Drosophila melanogaster: one gene and its partners. The protein of the gene in region 3 interacts with the protein of the main gene of each other region in a pairwise test. Each region holds a gene or a part of one and is shown on either strand. Other genes may lie near its edges.

Region 1 (4,617 bases), about 10 Mb from region 3:
CAACGGTTGTCATTATGCATTATGCGCTGGCTGCTATTTTTTCTTTCTTTTTTTTTTGTGTGGTTTTGCTCAGTTTTGGGCCATGGCATTAATGTCACCTGCTCATCGCTGTTCTGGCCACAATGACTCCGCTAAGTGCACGCAGGAAAAACAGAGAAAAAAAAATTAATAATAAAATTAAAATGGAAAATAGATATAGTGAAACGGGTAACAGGTCTATTGGGCACCCCCTTGCTTAACGAGTAACCGTTTACACGCCGCAAGTTGGGAAGACGGTCATAACCATTACCCATTAACCAATTCATTTGGACCGAGAGTGCGGCTCGTTAACCAGATGGAGGAGAAGCCAGCACTCGATTCCGCATCCATTTCCATCTAATGTATTCAACTCCGCCGCAGCAATGGGCCTCTAATGAACTGCTGATGGCTTTGCGCAAGTGTTTTACGGCCAGTACATTTGACATTTGACCAAGGAAATGTTTTTAAGACTGGGATTACTTATTAATAAATATCTAAAATATGCCAAAATAAATATGTGCCAGGTATAGGCAAGATATAAAAAAAAGAGGTACCATATATCTTTAAAACCAATCACTAAGCAATAGAACGTCTTGCCAAAGAATTGATATTTTTGTTTTAAGAGATACGTTCAAATGACTTTTAGTTGTTGTGTGTAGACAATCTCTAAAAAGTTGCAATTAACTTAGCAAATCCCACGAAGATTTGCACCACATGTGTAATACTCTAATGGAAAAATAAAGTTAATTCGGTTTATATTAAGACCGTTTGTAAGCCAATCTTTCGCATCGAGTGCTTTTGCTTTGTACCCAATAGCCGGGTCGAATTTAATTGGAAAAGGCGTTGCCGACAGACTAAATAACTGACCACCATTCACTGAAAACTCAGTCTGAGAATTAGTATTAGAATCGGACAAACGAACTTTGTTCTTGGCCAGGCAAAAATGATTCGTTTGATTTTGCGCAAAGGTTGCCGGAGATTCAGATTCTGCTGTCATGTAGCGTTTATTTGTTTGTTCAGCCATTATTGTAATTATAGTATTAATAAATCTCGCCACTGGCGGCCGGCGAAGGTCGCCCCGTAATAATATCATTTTGGCATTAGATATTTTGAAAGGCATTTCAAATCTGATCACTTTGCTTAATTGCCGTGCAGAACTTAGTGCTGTTAAATGAGGCGTAAATTGGAAATCACTTCTAAGCTAAACGAAAATGCCAAAGGCTTATGAAATTGCCAAGCAAATAAAACTCAAGAGTATTAAACATATTTTATAATAGGCAAAAACACTCCGGTAATAACATAAACAGTCATTCGCCCAGACCCGCATCAACTTATAATTTACTGCCCAGGAAAAATATCATCATAAAAAATGTGTGAAAATTCGTATAATACAAGATCTGCGATACGGACTTTAACGCTCATAATTGAAACATAAAGCCACAACATATCGAGTGGTGGATAAGAAATTTCGAGATTTGCATATTAATCGGCCCGAAAAATATAAAAGGGTGCATTGTTTAACGGCCATAAGTTTCTACGCTTTTCGATATCGGGTTGCCACAATCGATTTGCATAACTCTCCCGAAACAACCGCACAATTTGGAGCGTCGCCTGGTCAATAAACTTATTGACCGACTTAGATATGACACCTGCATATATATCTTTTTGTTTATGAAGAGACGCAACCCCCCCCCCCCCGCCGGTTTGCCTTCGGCGGATTTCCAGCTCGACTGCTCCACTTTCATGGCGTTCACTTTCGCTTTTTTCCTCGTTTTCGATTTTATTTATTTATTTTTTATTTTGGCCCAGCTATCATCACTGAGTTTTGTTATTGCTTATGCCTTAGAGTTGATGGCTGATAGCTTTTAGCTTTTGGCCCAAAGCGCGTTGATGGCTAAACTGGCTGCTGTATCTTGGGCTAAGGCTTATCTGGCCAGAGCCATCGATTCGACGAACGACCTTGAGACCGTTACCGGTTTCTTTGGGCCAGGCCACTCTTGCATGGCCCAGACAAGTTGGTGATTTTTTTTGTTTTTTTTTTTAATTTTTGAGTGTCTTTTTAGCTCTGACTCTGGTTCATCCTCAATCATGACAGCGACCAGGGGTCAGGCCGAATATGAGTAGTAGGTTACCAGGTAGTTAACCCCGAAAATTCAAATGAAATGCGAATGAAATAGAGTAAAAAGGAAAGTTCCCTCAAATCACTTCCCTATAAAAACAAAAAACCTTTTTAAAATGTATGTAAAATTTGTAATTTATATAGCATTTTAAGTAGCACGTCAACCAGTAAATGTTGGACACCATCCATATAGCTTAATATAATCAACAATCAAATATGACACTGAACACAAAGCGTAAGTCATAGGAGAACAATAAAACTCTCCCTTTTTTCGGCTTACGATTGGTTAGGCTCTTGTTAATTGATTTATGAAGCAATTAACGCATTTGAATCTTCACTTTTGCATTGTTGACGTCGGCGCTGTTGCCAAATTTCGGTAGCCAAAGCGATTAATGGACGAACGCTAACCAATAGCGCCCCCCCCCTCTTCAATAACCCCCTCCATTAATAGCCCCCCGTAGTGTTGTTTGTTTTTGGAACAGACCTGACCTATGCCAGCATTTTCAGTTGAGGCTTAGCCCAGTTAGCAAGTTCGTTGCCTAAGTCTTTCGTTTTGACATACATTTTGAGCTGGGATTGTCGCTTATTTCCCTTTTTTTCGGCTTTCAGCCGCCTTATATACATACTCACCCGAAATATAATAAAATAAAAATGCGGCTTGCCAAACTTAATTGCAATGCGAACTCTCCGAAGCACCCAAATATATAATTGAGTTCATAAACAATTTCAAAATGCAAATAAACCAGCACAAACACTGAGCGCACAAGAAAAACACAAAACAATAAACACAACCTGAAGTTTTTCAAATTAAAAACGCGACAACTAAACGGCCCGCAAAATGTCACTTTGTCTTGTGAAAGATTCACGCATAACTGAAAACTGAAACTCGCCGCTAAAAAAATATTCAGCCCACTTCAAAAAAAAAAAAGAGAAAGACAGAATGAGAGAGAGAGAGAGAGAGCAGGCGGAAGAGAGAGAGCGAGAGAGTCAGAGAAAGCACCAGAAGTAAACAAGTAAAAGCATTTTAATGAAACCTGTAATCAGTAGAAAGTGACACAATGCCCGCTCCATTGGGCAAGCTACCAAGTAGTTGGCCCACGGAGAAAGGTTCAGGGAAAACTCTTGGGTCAAGAAGATCCAAAAATATTCGCTATTAGGCTATTGGGTTACAAAATATATATTAATTCTATCTTTTTAATTTAAATATTAGTTAATTAAGGTATTGCCAAATGTATTTAAAACTAATTTTTGAAGCGAAACTCCTGAGCCGAAATCCGTAGTTCATTCCCCTGTTCTACCTTCCACTGAACTTTAGTTTGAGGAAATGAACCCAAACAAGCTATTTCACCCCTCAACCTTTACTTAGTTTTTACTTCCGCTCATTGCGAGCTTTCGCTTTTTGCGTTTCCATCCAGTGATTTGCCCCACCGCATCCTTGGGGGAGTGGTTCATTGCAGTGGCTCCCACTGAATTCCATCGGATCTCTTGCATCAGCCGCTGTCCAAGCTGTTACGCCACTTGATTTAGAGCCCCTCTTTTACGCTTTCTTAGCTGCCCAAGTGACCAACAAGTCTTTCTCCTCACTTCTTTATTTATTTCGGTTACGAACTAGCAAAAAAAAAATGGGTTTAACACAAACGATTAACGTAACTATGATTATGTGATGACTAAGCTGGCTAGAATGGCTCATTATGGTAGGGGTTCCAAGATCTATGGTGATCTGCCGGCTTGGCATGATGACCCATGCTGCTGCTGGCGAAAATATTCTTGGCTGCACTCGAAGCTCCTCCAGCGGCTCCCAGACCGGCATTCAAAATCAATCCAAGGGCATTGCTCACCAGATGGGAGGCCACTTGCTTCACAAATCCTCCAGAATCAAAGTTATTTGCCGCCGCAGCTGCCCATCCACCGCCCTCCTTCTTCTTTCGCGGGCGTGGCAACTCCGCACTTCCGTGTCGCTCCTCTGAGCCGTCCTCTGAAATTGGTCGAAACTTTGCCTCCAGGAAGCTGGTGATCAGGTTCTTGGTGAAGGTCAATGGTTGCGGTGGGCCCTCCTCCTCGGGATCCTGTTAAAGATTGTAGAATGTTGTTTATTGCACTCGCTAAATAAATGACGTTCAGGGGTTAGTAACACAGTTATGAGGTTGGGATCTAGAAGGTAAATATATATATAAGCAAAATATATAAATACAGCGCTCAATGCGGCCAGCACAGTGCCCAAGAAGTTGCCTATAAACTGGCCATTGTTAATCTGGAAAAAATAATATATGCAAGTAAAATGACTGGAAATTCATGAAAATAGGTTTGAGGAACCCACCGCTCCACCACCTCCAGAGAGACCATCCAAAGCAGTGCCCACATATTGTCCCAACACGAGGCCAAAGTTCTTATTCCCGCCCAGAAGACCAGAGATCAGCGAGGTTCCCGTTTGAATCAGACCTTGCACATCTAGGCCTCCAGGCTAAAAGATAGTTTTTCTA
Region 2 (3,365 bases), on a different chromosome or scaffold from region 3:
GAGGTTCAATGAGCAGTGCAACCGCGTTGCCTTCAGATTAAATTAAAAGTTTTTTTTTGGATTACATAGCTAATTAAAGAAAATCCATTGAGGTGAATTTTTAGAGGAAGATCAATTTCCGTTGACGCACAAAGGCCAACTATAGGTAGAAATACAGATAAATGCTAACTAGGGTGGACCTCAGTCGTATAAAGAGTGGCCCTTTAGGTCATCATTCATACGCAATGTTGCCAGTGGAATCTCATCAAATGATATAAAAGCTAAATAACAAACAAATGAAGAGATTAGTGCTTGTTTTTAAAATCGTTTACTTTAGAATTTATAAAAAGTCTTGCTTTGAATCCTCAACGTTAAGGTCCACTCTAATGTTGGCAATGCATATACATATATATGTTCTTTAACCGAAACGCATTGATGTTCGTGTCGTTTGCCAAACCAAATTCAATTGCAAATTTCCGTTTCGAGATGGTCAAGGCTTTCGTTGTTGTCTTTTTTATTAGCTACATTTCTCAAAAGCAAACAAATTAGAAAATTTATACATATATAAATATAAAGTGTAGTCTGGTTGGGGCATGTGTCTGAAACACGCGCAATGATTTTCACAATTTGCCATTTTGCGCAACTTGAAACGCACAGCATTTGAAAATTCTGGTTCAATGTTGTCATATAAACAAATCTTGTTTCCATATGCTTTCTGACATACATATTCTGGTCTTCATTTTTTACTTTGAGCGATTTGTTCAAACTTTTAGTTGAACGATGGCGTCCGAGTGCAATGAACTTTTTCTGGACGTTTCCTAAGTGGTATAAATTATACGTTTTGATGCCAAATAAAGTTTAATAGTTTGGTTTTACTACAATTGCTTATTCAACCAATATTCCACCAATAACTATAGCTATAATTCCGAATATGTAAAACATCAGCAGATAGTACAACTTATTGCCAAAGCTGTAGATTTTCTTGATTATTATTCCCTCTAAGGATTTCCTATCCACATCGCTGGACAAAGGTAGTCTCATTTCGTATCCATGGTCGTCGGCATAAAACTTAGGTATCCAGCGATATTTCACATATCCCAAGGACTCGTAAAGCCCAATGGCAATTGTATTCTTCTCTCGCACAAATAGATCTATATAAAAGTCTTTCTGACGATCCATCATATCCCTAACGGTTGTTAAGAGCCGAGTGCCCAAGCCCAGTTTACGATAATCCTGAGCTACGGCCAGAGCAGAGATGTGTCCATGATTCCAGGTCATAGTCTTTGCATCTCCAAAAGATTCAGTCGCATCCTCGACGCGTGTCCCCAGAATGAAGCCCATGAGACTATTGTCAGGAGCATCGGCGGCAAGAACCAGTTCGGGATGCTCCAGAATCTTGGGAAGCAAGAATGGCAAGGAGTACACTTCCGCCAAGGGATCCATCACAATATTGTTAAACTTGAACAGATCTTCGAGAACAAACAATCTCGGAGAAGTCATGACTCGCTGGGATATAATAGGAATTTTTTTATCTTGTTCAATATTATGTTTACTTTGTTAATGTGACATATTTTTTTTCCTCAGTTACTACTTTGTACGCTAAACCAAAATATGTTTTAAAGATCTCGAAATCACCGATGAACTAACGAAAGAGATTTCAAATATTCAACTATTTCTTCGTATCGCAATTAAAGAAAAGAAAACTTGACGCAAAATCCCGGCATACTTTTAGGCTTTTCGAAAGTCTAGATCTACAATAATGTTGACATTTTATTAAATCGTTCGCTCTTAATATATTGCAGCATATCACGTCTTAGACTAATCGAAATCCTATGTTATTTAATGTTCTTGTAGATCCAGGGCAGCAGCGAAGTGACACGAGTGTAGACGCCAGGATATTGACCCTTGCCGCAACCAATGCCCCAGGACACGATTCCCACCTGGGTGTACCGTCCACCATCATTGATGACCATGGGTCCGCCAGAGTCGCCCTATAAATTAAATCAGTCTGAGAATCTTGATGATCACTTATATATATCATCACTTACACTGCAGGAATCTTTGGCTGCCTGACCAGCGCAAATCATCGACTCAATGATCCCACCAGGCGCTGCACGTCCATATTTCCTGGCACACTCGGCATTTGTCCAAATGGGAATATCCACCTTCTGCAGGATGGATGGCTGTGGCCCATTCTCCCGAAGACTTCCCCATCCGGCCACGGTGGCCACTTGGCCACTGTATGATCGGGATTGCTGCGAGGGCGAGGTGGGCAGGCAAATTGGTTGGATCTCCCTGGTGAAGGGCACTGGTTCACTCAACGTCAGTATGGCCACGTCGTTGTGCTGGGAAAGAGGATTATCATTTGAATATAATGATGGAAATCACTAGGTCTTTCAGAAACATAGATTGGATTCTCTTACCAAAGTGCTGAATTCGAAACCCTTGTGCCGCACAAGTCGTTTGATCCTGCGGGAAACATGCTGCACCTCGAAGTCCGTGCCGATGTTGTAGTCACCCAGATGGGCTGTTAAGGCCGCCACATCCCACGAGGTCATGCTGCAATAACCACAAGTTTTTAGGATATTCTAAAAGGACACAGTCTTATTCCTCACCGTGCCACACAGTGAGCTGCGGTCAGAATGTGACTATTGGTAATAAGACTGCCGCCGCAGAACTGCTTTCCCGACTTGAAGAGCACAGCGATCCAGGGAAATTCGTGTGGACTGGCATTGATGCCGCCAACGATCCGCTCCTGGTCGGGCGTCACTGGATTCTTATTGCCGCACTGCAGCGGAAGTCCTTCCGAACTAGTTCCGCTCACAGGACGTCTCGTAGTTGTCGTGGTTGTAACTGGCGAGGGATAACTAGGATAAGTGGGTCGCCTAGTGGTTGTCGGTCTGGCTGGGCTTGTGGGCCTTGGTGTGGTGCGCTTGGTGCTTGGAACTCCTCCTGTGGTGGGGTGCGTGGGATAATGGTGGTTCGGCGGATGGGTGGGCAGCGGTGGTGGCCAACCACCCGTTGTGGGTGGGTGAGTCGGTAGCGCTGGTGGCCACTGGCCGCCAGCAAAGGAACCGAAAGGCCACTGGTAGGGATGAATGGTAGACGCTGGTTGGGTGGAAATAGGCTGCTCCACCGGTTCCCCCACCGGTTCTGCTTCCGGTTTTTTATCTGCTCCTGGAGGATTACCCTCAATCGTGTTGATGTCCTGGAAATCCGGCGTATCCTCCACACTGTTCGCATTGTCAATGGGCTCTTCCGGTCGAGGAACATCCGGAGGATATACACCCTCCACTTCTCCCTCGGGAATCACATGTTCCCTATCCTCCTCATCAGCCACCACTGAAGGCATCTCCGTAGTCGTGGTCGTCGTTGTCGTTGTTCCA
Region 3 (5,666 bases):
TGTGCACAAGGTCGCTTTCGCTCCACACTGCCAATGATTTAGCTAGTTTCCTAGCTAGTTCGGGTCCATTTCCTGGCTTGAAAAAGAAAAACACGCCAAGGCGGAAATCGAGCTTCTCTGGCAACATGTGTGATTGAAAGTAAAAGGCAAAGCTCGCGCAGACCATAAGCTTCATTCATGATTGGGCCCCGTTTGCCGATTGCCGTTACATTGTTAACTATTGCAAAACTTTTGCTTTTGCTTTGCTTTGCTCGTGCTGCGGCGATTGCATAAGCACTCTTGCCTGCTTTTTGTGTTCATTTACATGTGTAAATGTGCGGTCCGCTTGGCCACTCGGCCAATTAAAGACTCTTTGCAACCGATGGAGGGACAAAGGGCTATGATGGATAATGGATGCACCGATCCCGCCCGTCCACGGCGATTATCCGATATTGCGTGTGGAGTGAAAGGTTTGATTGATTGGTCAATCGACCACTCAACCCCCCCCCCCCCCCCTCCCTTTTTTTGCTATTTCCCCACGAGATGCACACTAGTTTTGTATAGATTCGAAATACATAGTTTTTTTTAATTCGAGAAAGATCGGAGAATGGGAAGTGAGTTTGGGTGTCATGGGTTTACAGTCGGTTGAATGATTACTTAAATAAGGTACGTGAAAATTTCTTATCGTTTGGATTTTGCAGGCAAGTCAAGATGTTTATTAATAAATAACATATAGCATAGTCTAAAAGAGTATTTATACAGTAGGTATAATCGAAATACAAGGAAATATTTATGAGGAAGATAGAATGTATAGAAAAGATTTAGATTTGAAACTTGAGGTAGAAGTGAAATACAAGATTACAGGATTGAAATGCTTAAAAAAGGAGCATTTTAGGAATAATAAACTGTAGCGTAACAGTTCGCAAAACAATAAAACACGAACTAAATTGAAATTTTAAAGATAGAAAGAAAGAAATCAAGAAAAGAGAACGGAAAAGATTCAAGTTTGAAAATTTTAGGAGGACAAAAGTTTGTAAAGAGTGGGTTTCCTTATAGACAGAAAATTGGTTTTGGAATATGATAAGAAGTTAAGTAGAGTAACGTAGAGATGAGGGAAATTGAAATTTTAGGCGAAGATCACATAGGATAGCTGAAACAGTATATGGAATAGTAGTAGTCTTGGGATTGGGAAGATAGTTTATAGTAGATAGATAGATATAGATAGTTTATAAAAAATTCAGTTTATTCTTTTTGTATAATAATAAGGCGAAAGTCTGAAAGCGGGAAATATATACACAACAATTTGGCAGCGTTTGGTTGGGCACAGAAATGGAGATTTGGGTAGTTAGAAAAGTAGTTAGAAGTAGTCAGATATAGAGAAAGATAGTTAAGAAATAGATAGGTCAGAGTATTGAAGTTTAACTGCTACACATACGCTCTATAGGAAATGGGCTAGAACTACTAAATTTAAGTGACTAAGACGCGAATCTGTGTGTTGATTTGTTTCGAATTGTTTCGATTTGATTTGATTGATAATTTCTTTCAGTGTGCTTGTGTGTGCGTGTGCATGTGCATGAGTTGTGAGTGTGGATGTGATGAGGAGAAGTAGAAGCGACCGGAAGTGGCTTAGTCCTTCTTGTCGTCCACATCCTTGTACCAGTCCTCGCAGCCGGGCACATTCTCGGGAGCATCGCACATCTCGGTGGCATCGTTGTAGACCTCGCCCAGCTGGCAGCCCAGATCCCTGGGATCCTCGCCGTTCAGGCACACGTAGAACTTCTGGCAGTCGGTGGGATGCGGATACTTGGGGTGGGTCACCACCTGGCCGCGATCGTCGGTCTTTGGCTGATCCTTGGGGCACACGAAGCCGGTCTCGGAGGTTCCTGAAAGTACACACCACATGCCAGACCATTAGCCCACTCCGCCGCACGGCGACTCAATCGGTCCACTTACTCTGCTCCGGATTGCAGCCCTCGCGCTTAGCGGTATCCGGCCACACGCAGGTGCCCGAGTACTCGTCGAAGTGGAGGCCGACGGTGCACTTGGTCTCCAGGGCGTCGCCTTCGATGCAGTTGTAGAAGATGTTGCACACGGCGGGATCGGGATGCGCGAAGAAGCCGTTCTTGCGCGGGCAGTACTTGCTGGACTTCGGCTCCTCTGTGAAGGGGAAACCGAACAGGGTTAGTTCCTCCGTCTACCAAAGGAGCTACACAACTACATAACTTTTGGATAGCTCATTGTAGTGGTGTATTTGCTTTAAATATAGAGATGTCCAAAAGTATGCTACAAATTCATCCTTTCAACTGATGCTTTCATTAGTAAGCTAAATTTGAACTTAAGAGGCGAATTTAAATTTAACTCCCTACATAGTTAATGGTGATGTAATGATGTAATTGGAATAACCTGTTTAGCGCTCTGCCTTGACATAGTTTTCGTGACCATTCCCAAGGGGTCGGTAACAATAGCCTAGAAATAGAAATGGTGATGGGATGGGCTACTTACGGAGCTCAGTGCGGTCCTCGCAGTCCACATTGAAGGGCTGGTCGCACTTGTTGAACTTGCGGTTGAGTGGATCGAAGACCAGGCCATCGGGACAGAGCTTCGCCTTGGCCACTCCGTCGTCGCAGACGTAGAACTTGTCGCACTGCACCTCATCGGCGAACTGGCCATTGGGCTTCGGGCACTCGAAGTTGGCGGCGGACACGGCTGGTGTTGGGGTAAAACAAAGGAAAGAAACAAGCACTTCAGTCAACTGGTTTTCCCACTTTCACTTTCCTGGCGACCCCCAGTCGCACTCGAAAGTGTAACAGATCGAACGACGTTCGATTACCGATGGCAATTCCGCATTTGCGGTTTCCTGGTTGCCACCACTCCCGGTGGCCCAAGAAATGATCAGTGGTTTTCCATTGGAACAGGTTGCTATCGCTTGATACATTTGACCAGAATCCCACTGACTTCGGTAAGCTAGATATAGGTTAGTACTATTTACTCAACCAATGTGAAATCTCTTACTTGGGCGCCTAAAGGATAGCTATAAAAAATGTATACAATGCGAAAATCACTGCATACTTCTATACACCTTTGCATTCGCTATGCTGACAATATCTTCTACAACCGAAATTGGGAATTCAAACTACGCGAATTCTTTGGATTTCCGTAACACACCGGTAAGTGATTCGAAATGTCGAAATTTAAATGTCAGAGAAGGCTTCATACTCAGCATAATGCCAAGATTACGACGTTCGGTCCGGGTTCAATGCACTTCTCTTGCGGCCCAGAAGAGCCGTTTTCCACTTGGCCAACAAACTGCATGAGTTGCATAACCCCAGCGGCCCAGACAGCCAGACAGCATCTTGGGCTTGGCCAGCATTCCAGTTTTTCCAGACGGAAAACGGCCCTCCATCTCGATCTGCATGTGGCCTGTAGATCCGCAATCGCGACCAGATTCAACATTTGCGTCTGAGGCCCAGTCTTGCGAGACGGCTAAATATGATTAGCTACTTATGGCTCTTAGCTCTTAGCTACTTAGCTACTTAGCTGGCCAAAACACACAGCGGCAGCAGATCGAGATCGAGTCTTGATTTCGGTGTCAGTGTCAAAGTAATTAGCAACAATTTGCGACTCTGACTTGGCGGATGGGCTGGCACTGGCCAGTCAGTCGTCAGTCACTTGAACTGGGCACCACTGATCCATTGAACGATCCATTGATCCATTCCCACGGATCCATTGATTCACACTCACTTGTCGCCACACACAGGGTCACAGCAATGGCACATAAAAATAACTTCATTTTGGACTCGGGGTCTGAGAAAAAAAAAGCAGAGCAACGATCCTGGCAACTGGATACTTGAGCAACTAATCGCGACTCAAGCGCTGCGATGGTTAAACTAAACTAACAACGGAACGCCAAAGAGGCGCACTTTTCAAGACTTTTTACCGGCTCTGCTCGACGTCGCCGACGACGCGACGACGCCGTCGGCTGCGGCAGAGTGATGCCAATGGGCGGGGCCACTACCGCCCCCGCCACTGCCACTGCCACTACCATCACCACCACCACCACCACCACTACTACTACTACTACCACACGAAACCGAGCCAGGCCAAACGAGCTGCGGCTGGAGCTGGACTGGATATGGGAATGGAATGGAGCCGGGGCTCCAAAGGCGACGAAGAAAGGCGAGCCAGAGATGTAATGGCACAAAAACAAGAAAGTCCAGGGGCGAGGACCGGAAAACCGCTGGCCAGATGCCCTAGCTTAATGTGCACCACGCGAATTCTTCAGGCCGCGCATTGATCAACTGTGTTGAAGGCGTCACCTGTATCAGATGACTTGGAGATTACATCGAAATCTTGGAAGAATTAGGAAATGCTTCTATGTATTTGTAAGCGAACTCTTAAGAATACTCAAAGGCTATTAAAAAAAAAGAAAAACAATGTTATTTATCGTATAATTACAGTTTTAATGCCGCAAATTCTTTAGTGATCTTGATCTGCAGAGCCATCTAGCGGTCATTTATGCAGGTAGAGAAGATGTTAAATTGATTTCCATTAGCGTTTCAATTCAATTGTTTCGCTTAAAAATAAAATTATATGCTAAAAATGGGTGGTTCTTAGGCATATAGAGTAATAAATAGTTGACCCTGTGCAAAAATACAAAATTCCAGCTTGTAAGCCATCTGGTCAGCTGCACATTTCCGGGTATTGACCGTCAAATAACCAAATGCGATCGAGCGACCGATGGATGCGGTTCGAGTAGGGTATGCGTTCCCTGCGATCAGTGTGTCGATGTGACCAAAAAAGCAACACACACACACACACGAAAATGAACGTAAATAAATTCATATGCGTCAACGATCCCCGAATTCAGTTGGCTCGAATTGAGTTGGCCGGGTTGATGGTCCGCATGCAAATGGCTTACATCGATCGACCAAAAGGCCAGCCAAACAGGTACCATCCATTTGGCGACGAGTTGGAGTTGGAAGACCGTCCTTTCGTCCAAAGTGCCAGCCAAAAATTGAGACTTCAAGGCTGAAGAGGACACGCCATGGGCGTAGTTTCGGTCTGGATCTGTATCTTTAAATTATACTATATATACATTGCATATATGCAGACGGACGGATGAAAGACTTGGTAATGAGTAACACACCCAATTAGTTGGAAGGTAATGTCTTAAACGCCACTCCCGCAAATCAAAAATTTAGCATTATTACTTTTGGTAAAATAAGGTAAGATAATATACATTATATATGTATAATTGAAATAAGAGCACATTTTTATAAACTATCATTTAGAAATATTAAAATATGATGAAATTAACAAGAGCAAGTACTAATGTAATAAATGTATCTTACAAATTGAATGTTGTATATCTATTAGAAACATGGTGATCCATAGGAATCCAATGAAATGCCTGATACAATATAGAATTTCTAGTTTTGCCTGCTTGGGAACTGGTCTACAGGTGATTGGTGGGGGAGGGGAGGGGGGGGGGTTGGTTTGGTGTAGCCATTTCCGAGGAGCTACGCCCATGGGATGGAAAACTGTGTCATCCCGATGCTTCCAGCGGCCAAGCGGCGGAGCATGCCGGTAATATATGTACATAATATATGCATAAATATGCTAAGCGGCCACGCAATGACCCAAAAGCCGCTGTCCTTGGGAGATGCGATCGATCCGCTCCGATCGGA

Evidence for each region.
Region 1: the proteins of obst-A (region 3) and CG43386 interact in a two-hybrid assay, tested with the Drosophila melanogaster proteins (one large-scale study listed by BioGRID).
Region 2: the proteins of obst-A (region 3) and Naa20B interact in a two-hybrid assay, tested with the Drosophila melanogaster proteins (one large-scale study listed by BioGRID).

Annotation. Positions count from the first base shown.
Region 1 is NC_004354.4:9,974,392-9,979,008, forward strand, and holds the start of CG43386 (uncharacterized protein), read right to left. Parts: upstream 3,015-4,617; 5' UTR 2,768-3,014; intron 1-2,767. Other genes in the region: CG15252 (uncharacterized protein), read right to left, coding at 3,814-4,203, 4,329-4,388, 4,455-4,598.
Region 2 is NT_033779.5:13,255,794-13,259,158, reverse strand, and holds Naa20B (N(alpha)-acetyltransferase 20 B), read right to left. Parts: upstream 1,683-3,365; 5' UTR 1,480-1,682; coding exon 865-1,479; 3' UTR 515-864; downstream 1-514. Other genes in the region: CG31730 (uncharacterized protein), read left to right, coding at 1-12; l(2)k05911 (lethal (2) k05911), read right to left, coding at 1,815-1,970, 2,028-2,324, 2,403-2,538, 2,595-3,365.
Region 3 is NC_004354.4:20,238,081-20,243,746, reverse strand, and holds obst-A (obstructor-A), read right to left. Parts: upstream 3,893-5,666; 5' UTR 3,770-3,892; coding exon 3,721-3,769; intron 2,686-3,720; coding exon 2,482-2,685; intron 2,137-2,481; coding exon 1,933-2,136; intron 1,863-1,932; coding exon 1,606-1,862; 3' UTR 538-1,605; downstream 1-537.